Linked DNA regions of Saccharomyces cerevisiae S288C. Changing the gene in region 1 together with any one later gene gives a genetic interaction. Each region holds a gene or a part of one and is shown in the gene's direction. Other genes may lie near its edges.

Evidence for each region. Genes that interact genetically often act in the same process or in processes that back each other up.
Region 2: mutations in YBR053C (region 1) and ATR2 together harm fitness more than expected from each alone (negative genetic interaction), as found in Saccharomyces cerevisiae (one large-scale study listed by BioGRID).

What each region holds. Positions count from the first base shown.
Region 1 is NC_001134.8:338,945-343,256, reverse strand, and holds YBR053C (regucalcin), read left to right. Parts: upstream 1-2,505; coding exon 2,506-3,582; downstream 3,583-4,312. Other genes in the region: YRO2 (Yro2p), read right to left, coding at 1-156; RFS1 (flavodoxin-like fold family protein), read left to right, coding at 3,905-4,312.
Region 2 is NC_001145.3:823,898-828,508, reverse strand, and holds ATR2 (Atr2p), read left to right. Parts: upstream 1-2,157; coding exon 2,158-3,780; downstream 3,781-4,611. Other genes in the region: DNA-binding transcription factor CAT8, read left to right, coding at 1-1,481; phosphoribomutase PRM15, read right to left, coding at 3,878-4,611.

The sequences.
Region 1 (4,312 bases):
TGGGACTAAAATCACACCGAATAGTAGGTTAACACAAAAAACGGTGAAAAGCCAGTCTGAACCACGAGATGTAATGTGGAAATCAGCACCGGTTGGTGGATTAATTTTGATGGCTTCGTTACCACCTCTTTTCAATAGTTCAACATAATCAGACATTTTGATGCTTTTTTTAAAAAATAGTGTCACTTTAAGTTATCAGGAAAATTAGAAGATTTTTAAAATTAAATATTAATAATTAAAGAATTAGTGGTTAAACGTTATTAGATTGTTTGGAATTAAAAGAAAAAAATTCTAGATTGATTAAAAATAACCAGAATAAGCTATTAGTTTTGAGTAAAAAAGGGTTTTTAGAAAAAAAATTATGGTAAGTTCTTAGGACTTCTTGTCTATGTTAAAGTATCCAAAGATAAATAGATAGTTTTTTTCGGGTTGGAATATTACTGTTATTTGCTGACACAATCTTGACACTTGATTATATAATCGTAAATGAGAAAAGGTTAATAACAAATATCGAAGAAAACAAGAGAAGAAAAGGGCGGAAAACCATAACTAACACACTGTCTTACATGTAAACCGAATAAGTTCGGTTCTTTATATATCTTTTCGGTAAGCTTCCAGTAATTGAAAGGATCATGAATAAGCAACAACCCGATGAGGAATCATCCCGATCTAACATTGAAATTTTCTAGGGGTTTTACTAACTAATCTGATTGGAAAGCACAATTATCCAGTGAACTACTAAGATGACGAAATTATTCGTTTACACAGAAATAGTGAAAGGCATTTTTGCTTTTACAAGAGGCTATTTTTTTTTTTCTTCATGCTTCTTAAAGGGATTCATGCATTGGACCGGAGAAAAGTCCGCAGAACGACCACTCGAGGGTAAGAAAAAAACAGCTCAGATTTCCTATTTGAGGCAAATTATGCGGAAATTGAAGAATCGAAAATCACGGAAGTGGTACCAAAATCGGTAGGTTGTTTTCAATTTACCCTTTTTTTCCATTCCCTCATTTAGAACCCATAGCGAGGTCGAAATATCCCTTAGCCATTGGTGTGATGTCTATAGTTATTTCCCTCAGTCAACCCAAAGCAAGATTTACATTGTGTTAACGTATGCCGTGATATGAACAAACACACCGGCCTACATAGCTAAGTTAATCAAAGAAGGTGTAGATAAACTAGGTTACATAACTGCCTATTGGCAAGCTTTCTTGCTATCTTAACAGCAAAGCTCTTAAGTCGTGATCTTCTCTTCTGATTCTCTTCCGATGGCATATAGATTTGAAGACGACAAGGAAAGCTAAGCAACTTCCTAGTTTTCGTCTAAAAAAACCGAAGGTTTTTCCGGTGATTTTCGGAAACATGCAGAAGAGTCCTTAGAAATCTTAGGTAAATTCACTCGGCATGTCTGCTAAAGATCGGTCTAGGCCATGCGCGTAAAACGGGAAAGGGTTCGCTCAATGGCAGATGCTGCCATACGAGGACACAACCAAGATGAGGCCTCCCAAAGCGGTACTCGCGTTAAGAAAGAAGGGCTTTGGAGGCAACCGGGTAGGGTGTCTTCTTTGTAAAGTTTGTCTAATGTTGGAGAATGGTTGCCACCCGGGGAAGAAAACTGCTCAGGGCGGATAACAGGAAAATAACATGTTGCGTGCACTTGTTTCCGTTGAAGGGAGATGGAAAGACTACTTAAAACAAAGTAAAGAAAAACATCTCAAAAATATTGAGAGAAAATGTGGTCCAGGAACCAAAGATGGTATACTATTTTGCTTTAGTTTATTTTTGCCTTCTTGTTTAATTATTACTCAATTGGTATATGTAATTGAGTAAATATACAAATTGTAGCTTGTGTTTTTGTTTTTCACAAATGACATCGGTATGTATTTTTCAACATATCTTCGCCATTTCTGTGAGCTATTCCGAACACCGCTTGAAACGATTTGTATTTTGCACAATCGTCATCGAAGTTCAAAAGTCAATTGCTTTTCCTAATAGAGTTAAAAGTCGGTCTACGAAAGTAAAATGTATACTCAGTAAGAGCGGTCTTTGTCTACAGTTCTCCAAAGTGGTAGTTATATCGGGAATGGGTAAATGCATTACACAACAACAAGGAGTTCTAAAAGAGTAACTGTGAACGCCAAAGGAAAAGATATAAAAAAAGTATGTCCCTTTTTAATACCTTTTTCGTTAAGCCGCTACAGCTACCTCTTGACTAACTGAGAAGCTGAATGGATAAGGAACAAAATCGTACGTAAATTTTCTCATCCATTTTACTTGGTCAACAGATTCTATAATTGTAAAGCTGTAGCTTGCACTTGATTTTGTTCCTAGAAATGCATTCAAAATTATTTAATGGTCGCCAAGAACAGCTAGGTGAAAGTTTACCCGGTCGGGCTTTAAGGGGAAGCCAATGCTTATTCAAAGCATATGGACATATATGAAGATGTCCTGTAAGATTCTTAGATTAAGTTTATATGCATTGAGCAACTAGACACTTTTCGTAAAATGAGTAGTGTTGGCGATTTTGAAGAAATTATTTTGCATGATTTAAAACCTTATTATCACGTTCCCGGTGCCATACATAGTGAAGGAATAACCTTCGTTAAGGAAACCGGTACACTGTTGTGGGTTGATATTTTTAAAGGAGAGGTTCATAAAGTCGAAGACATAGAACAGCCTGAATCCAGTCATTCTTTTTTTTCCATTAGTAGAGCCAATTATGGCAAGAATGCGTCAATTGAGTACCCTCCCAATCCAGATGAATTAAAAGAATCCGTGGGCTGTATATTTCCAATACTTGATGGGGCTTCACAAAATGAAATCAAACAAGTATTATTTGGTAGTAAATTTGGCATAGGAAAATTGGATTTTAGCAAAAGTGAATGGGAATATGTCATTTTGTATTCCGAATGTCCTGAATTGAGTACAGACAGAGCATATAAGTTGAGATCTAATGATGGGAACGTTTCGCCAGATGGAAAATATATTTATGTGGGGCTAATGAGCGATTTTCCATTTGATTTGGAACCTATTGGGTGTTTGCTTCGTGTTGACCTATTAGCTCACAAGATAGAGCTTGTTTGGAATTGCTTGTTAATTCCTAACGCGATCCACTGGGATGAAAGTGATCAAAAGACGATGTACGTGACTGATTCTTTAAACTTCACTATTTGGAAATGTCCTGGTGGCGACTTGCTAAAACGTGACGAGTTAATTGACGTGAAGAACTCCAACAATCAATCTTTTGAGTCTCCTGAACCAGATGGAAGTGCAATTTGGTTTAGCAAAGACGGAAAACATTCTGGGTTTCTGTTTATCACTGTCTGGTCCACCAGTAAGGTTCAAATGTTCGATTTAACTAACGGAAAATTGCTGAAGGAGTTCATTTTGCCGGAGCAGACACCAAGAGTTTCATGTTGTTGTTTTGTTGGTAAAGATCTCTTCGTGACCACTGCCAATGCAGAAATCAACGATGCTGTAAGAACCAATACTGACAAGAATGGTGGCTGCATCTACAAAATTCCAAACGTGCTAGACGGAAATGTTCCTCTGGAATCTACAAAGCGACAACCTCTCCACTAGGTGTATATACATATGTTTATATATATGCAGCATACGTATCCAGCGCATGTAACTAGCGTCATATGACACCGCTTATGGGCAAATTGAAGCGAAGCTCCCAAACTTGTCCTTATACATCGAATAATAGCCGTTCCATTTTGGTTGCCTAGTTATAAGGAGGGAACACCTAAGGGGCGGACAATCAAAAATACATAAAAGAGCGGAAAAGAAAAGAAATAAAAAGAAACCACATTTTATATCACACTTTTCTCGAGAAACATCGAACATCAAGACCTCCAGCATACTACTCACTATTATAAGCACATACTACGCCACATAGATAATGCCGAAAGTCGCTATTTTGATTTATTCAGTGGACGATATAATTGCCACATTAGCAGAAAATGAAAAAAAAGGTATAGAGATAGCTGGTGGTGAGGCTGAGATTTTCCAAGTGCCAGACGTCAGCTATAAAACTGAATATGCGACAGAAGAGGGAAAAGAGGCAGCCAAAGTCGCCAAAACTAATGCAGATTTTTCCTATAAAATCCTAACAAGAGAAACGTTGGTTGAGTACGATTACTACTTATTCGGAATACCTACTAAGTTTGGAAACTTCCCCGCGGAGTGGAAAAGCTTTTGGGACTCGAATACTGGTGGGCTTTGGGCAAAGGGTTCTCTCCATGGCAAAATTGCCGGTTTGTTTGTTTCAGGCGCAATAAGCGGCAAGGGTGATACAGAAATGTGTATC
Region 2 (4,611 bases), on another chromosome or scaffold:
CTCAATCGAAGAACAGCCTGGAAAATAGACAAAGAACACCTAATGTCAAAAGAGAAAACCCAGAACACGAGTATCTTTATGGAAACGATAGTAATAATAACAATAATTCTGAAGCGGGTCACTCTCCAATGACAAATACAACTAATGGTAATAAGAGATTAAAGTATGAAAAAGATGCAAAACGAAATGCAAAAGATGGCGGTATATCCAAGGGGGAGAACGCACATAATTTCCAGAATGATACCAAAAAAAACATGTCCACCAGCAATCTGTTTCCATTTTCGTTTAGTAATACAGACCTTACTGCGCTGTTCACCCATCCTGAAGGACCGAATTGTACGAATACTAATAATGGCAACGTGGATGTGTGTAACAGAGCTTCTACAGATGCCACGGATGCCAATATAGAGAACTTAAGCTTTTTAAATATGGCACCATTCTTACAGACCGGTAACTCCAATATAGGTCAAAACACGATTGAGAATAAGCCTATGCACATGGATGCGATATTCAGTCTACCAAGTAATTTAGATCTAATGAAGGATAATATGGACTCTAAACCGGAACAATTAGAACCCGTTATTAAGCAAAACCCTGAGAATTCAAAAAACAACCAATTTCATCAGAAAGGAAAAAGTACGAATATGGAAAAGAATAATCTCTCTTTCAACAACAAGAGTAACTACAGCCTAACAAAGCTAATGAGATTGCTGAACAACGATAATTCTTTCTCGAATATTAGTATTAACAACTTTTTATACCAAAATGATCAGAACTCCGCGTCAGCGGATCCGGGAACAAATAAAAAAGCCGTTACAAATGCAGGTGCCAACTTCAAACCACCTTCAACTGGCAGTAATACCAGCCAAGGCAGTATCCTTGGAAGTACAAAGCATGGAATGGACAACTGTGATTTCAACGATTTAGGTAATTTTAACAATTTCATGACAAATGTCAATTATTCTGGGGTCGACTATGATTACATTGTAGATGCATCACTTGGGTTGGCTCCTTTATTAGTGGATACGCCCGATATCTCAAATACCAACACGACGTCTACTACGTCAAATCGAAGTAAAAACAGCATCATCCTAGATACGACATTTAACGATGACTTGGATCGGTCACGCATGAATGCCAGAGAAGTATTGAATCCTACCGACTCAATTTTAAGTCAAGGGATGGTATCCTCCGTAAGTACGAGAAATACCAGCAATCAAAGATCTCTTTCATCGGGCAATGATTCAAAAGGTGACAGTAGTTCTCAAGAGAACTCAAAGAGTGCAACTGGCAACCAGTTGGATACACCTTCTACACTGTTTCAAATGAGAAGGACCTCTTCAGGGCCCTCGGCGTCCCACCGTGGTCCAAGACGGCCTCAGAAAAATCGTTACAATACAGATCGATCAAAAAGTTCTGGTGGCGGAAGTTCCAACACAGATAATGTATCTGATTTATTCCAATGGCAAAACGCCAAATAATTCTTTATTTCATAGTGTAATATATTCAAAACGGAATCCTCTAAATATTCATGAAACAAATAACATTCTTACGTATAATTTCTTAATAGGGCAATTGCCGTAGCTTTCGTTCACCTTATGAACAGCCAAATTTATTGTTGGAAAAAAGAAAAGATAACAAAGACGACGCCAAAACACATCTTGATGCAGCGCCCATGTTCCTCAGATTTATTAATGGAACTACATTTCAGATTAGGAAATTTTTTTGCTAGTTCCCATGGTTACGTTACCGGAGGACCATCTGACAGCGCGGAGGCTGCACGGAAGGGAAGAGAAGGCAACAGGGGTGCGCATAAATAGCGCCGACAATGCGACGCCAAAAACGTGGCTCGTATATTGATTAAGTAAAATCTTTATTTTTCCTACACAAATGTCCGTAGAACGCGTAAACTTTTTTTGCTTTGTTATAGGAGTTTTATTTATGAGATAACAATGGCATGACGAAGATTATGCTATAGTATTGCCATGGTTACGAACTAAATTTTCTTTCATATCAGTTTTTCGAGGAAATACTCAGAGACATTTGGCTTGGACAAAAATAGGTATATAAGGCAATGGAAATAGATCTTTTAACCATGGCTAGTTCTGGAAACCAATCTAAGCACACCAAACATACAACTCAAAGATCTGATTGGAAATGTTTTCAATCTTCAAAAAGAAAACGAGCGTGCAGGGCACGGACTCTGAGATAGATGAGAAAATTACAGTGAAAGCAAAAGATAAAGTAGTGGTTTCCACAGAAGATGAAGAGGTGACAACAATTGTTTCTTCAACCAAATCAACTCAAGTGACCAATGACTCACCATGGCAGGACCCCACTTACTTCAGTTCCTTTGGGAAAGAATTAATGTTCATAGCGACATGCATGTTGGCACAGTTATTGAATCAAGCGGGCCAAACACACGCTCTCTGTATAATGAACGTTCTTTCGAAATCCTTTAATTCAGAAGCAAACAATCAGGCATGGTTGATGGCATCTTTTCCCTTGGCTGCTGGGTCGTTCATCCTTATTAGTGGGAGGTTAGGAGATATTTATGGATTGAAGAAAATGTTGATCGTTGGTTATGTCATCGTAATCGTTTGGTCTATAATTTCTGGTCTCTCCAAATACTCTAATAGCGACGCGTTTTTCATTACGAGCCGTGCGTTCCAAGGAGTTGGAATTGCGTTTATTTTACCAAATATTATGGGGCTTGTTGGTCATGTTTATAAGGTCGGTTCATTCAGGAAGAACATTGTTATTAGTTTCATCGGCGCATGTGCTCCAACAGGCGGCATGTTTGGTGGATTATTCGGGGGGTTAATTGTCACTGAAGACCCCAATCAGTGGCCTTGGGTATTTTATGCCTTTGGTATTGCAACGTTTCTAAGTTTATTAATGGCATGGTACTCCATCCCAAACAACGTTCCCACAAATATTCATGGGCTTTCGATGGATTGGACTGGGTCCGCGCTTGCCATTATCGGGCTGATTCTTTTCAACTTTGTCTGGAATCAAGCACCAATAGTTGGCTGGGACAAACCTTATATCATTGTTCTTTTGATAATATCTGTGATATTCTTGGTTGCTTTTTTTGTTTACGAAAGTAAATACGCAGAGGTTCCTCTTCTACCACGTGCAATGACGAAGAACCGTCATATGATTATGATATTATTGGCGGTATTCCTGGGATGGGGGTCGTTTGGTATTTGGACATTCTATTATGTTTCCTTCCAACTAAATTTGAGGCATTACAGTCCTGTTTGGACCGGAGGTACGTATTTCGTTTTCGTAATTTTCGGATCCATGGCTGCATTCTTCGTTGCCTTTTCTATCAAGAGATTAGGACCAGCTCTACTACTATGTTTTTCACTAATGGCATTTGACGCTGGTTCCATAATGTTTAGTGTATTGCCAGTGGAACAAAGCTATTGGAAGTTGAACTTTGCGATGCAGGCTATCTTATGTTTTGGTATGGACCTGTCCTTCCCGGCATCATCCATTATATTGAGTGACGGGCTTCCAATGCAGTATCAAGGTATGGCTGGATCATTAGTAAACACCGTTATTAATTATTCAGCGTCTCTATGTTTAGGTATGGGAGGCACTGTTGAACACCAAATTAATAAAAGCGGCAATGATTTGTTGAAAGGTTACCGAGCAGCTGTATATCTGGGAGTTGGGCTCGCTTCTCTTGGTGTTGTGATTAGTGTGACTTACATGCTTGAAAACCTTTGGAATCGACACAGAAAATCTGAAGATAGAAGTTTGGAGGCATAAACTAGTTAAATGTATATTGATATAAGTGTAGGTACAAACAACAAATATAATGGCATTCTTTAAGTCGCTTGGTCTTAATGTATAGGTTAAAATAGTATCAAAATTTTGTAACTATATTCATTTCATCTGGTCTAAACCATTCACGTCTCAGCACATTCCAAGTCAATTTCGCCAAGAAAGAGGCTCTTTGTTCTTCATTTGCGCAAGCTTCAATATATACTTTAAGTTTTGGTTCTGTTCCGGACCCGCGAATAGTGAAGCGGATATGCTCATTCTCACTACCGTTACTTGGTCTAGCAGATACTGTTATCATTTGTGATGTAGGATCGACGGGTAGAGTAGGTTTATGATTTATGGTATCCGATTGGTAACCAGTGGTTAAATCTCGATAGTAAAGTACTTCGATTTCTTCACCAATAGATGAAGGATATGACGCGCCCTCAGGAGTGTAGACATTCCTGATGTAGTCAAATATATCTTTTGTAACAGTTGGATTTGGAACGACATAATAGCCATTGTACTCTTTGAACACGCCATATTTTTTGAAGCCATTTTCTAAGACATTTAGCGGGTCCAAATTGTGGTCTATTTTCCACTTACAGTAGGCTTGCAAGAAGACAATGGATGCACTGATACCATCCTTATCATGCTCCATTGCTGGAAACATGTAGCCTATTGCTTCCTCGAATCCAAAAGGAACGTAATAGCCTTTCTTTTCCAAGAGTATGGCACGATTTCCGATCCACTTAAATCCTGTTAATGTATCCTCATAATGGAACCCTTCTATTTCTGCCATTTTTTTTATCATTTGTGAAGACACTGTTGAATTTA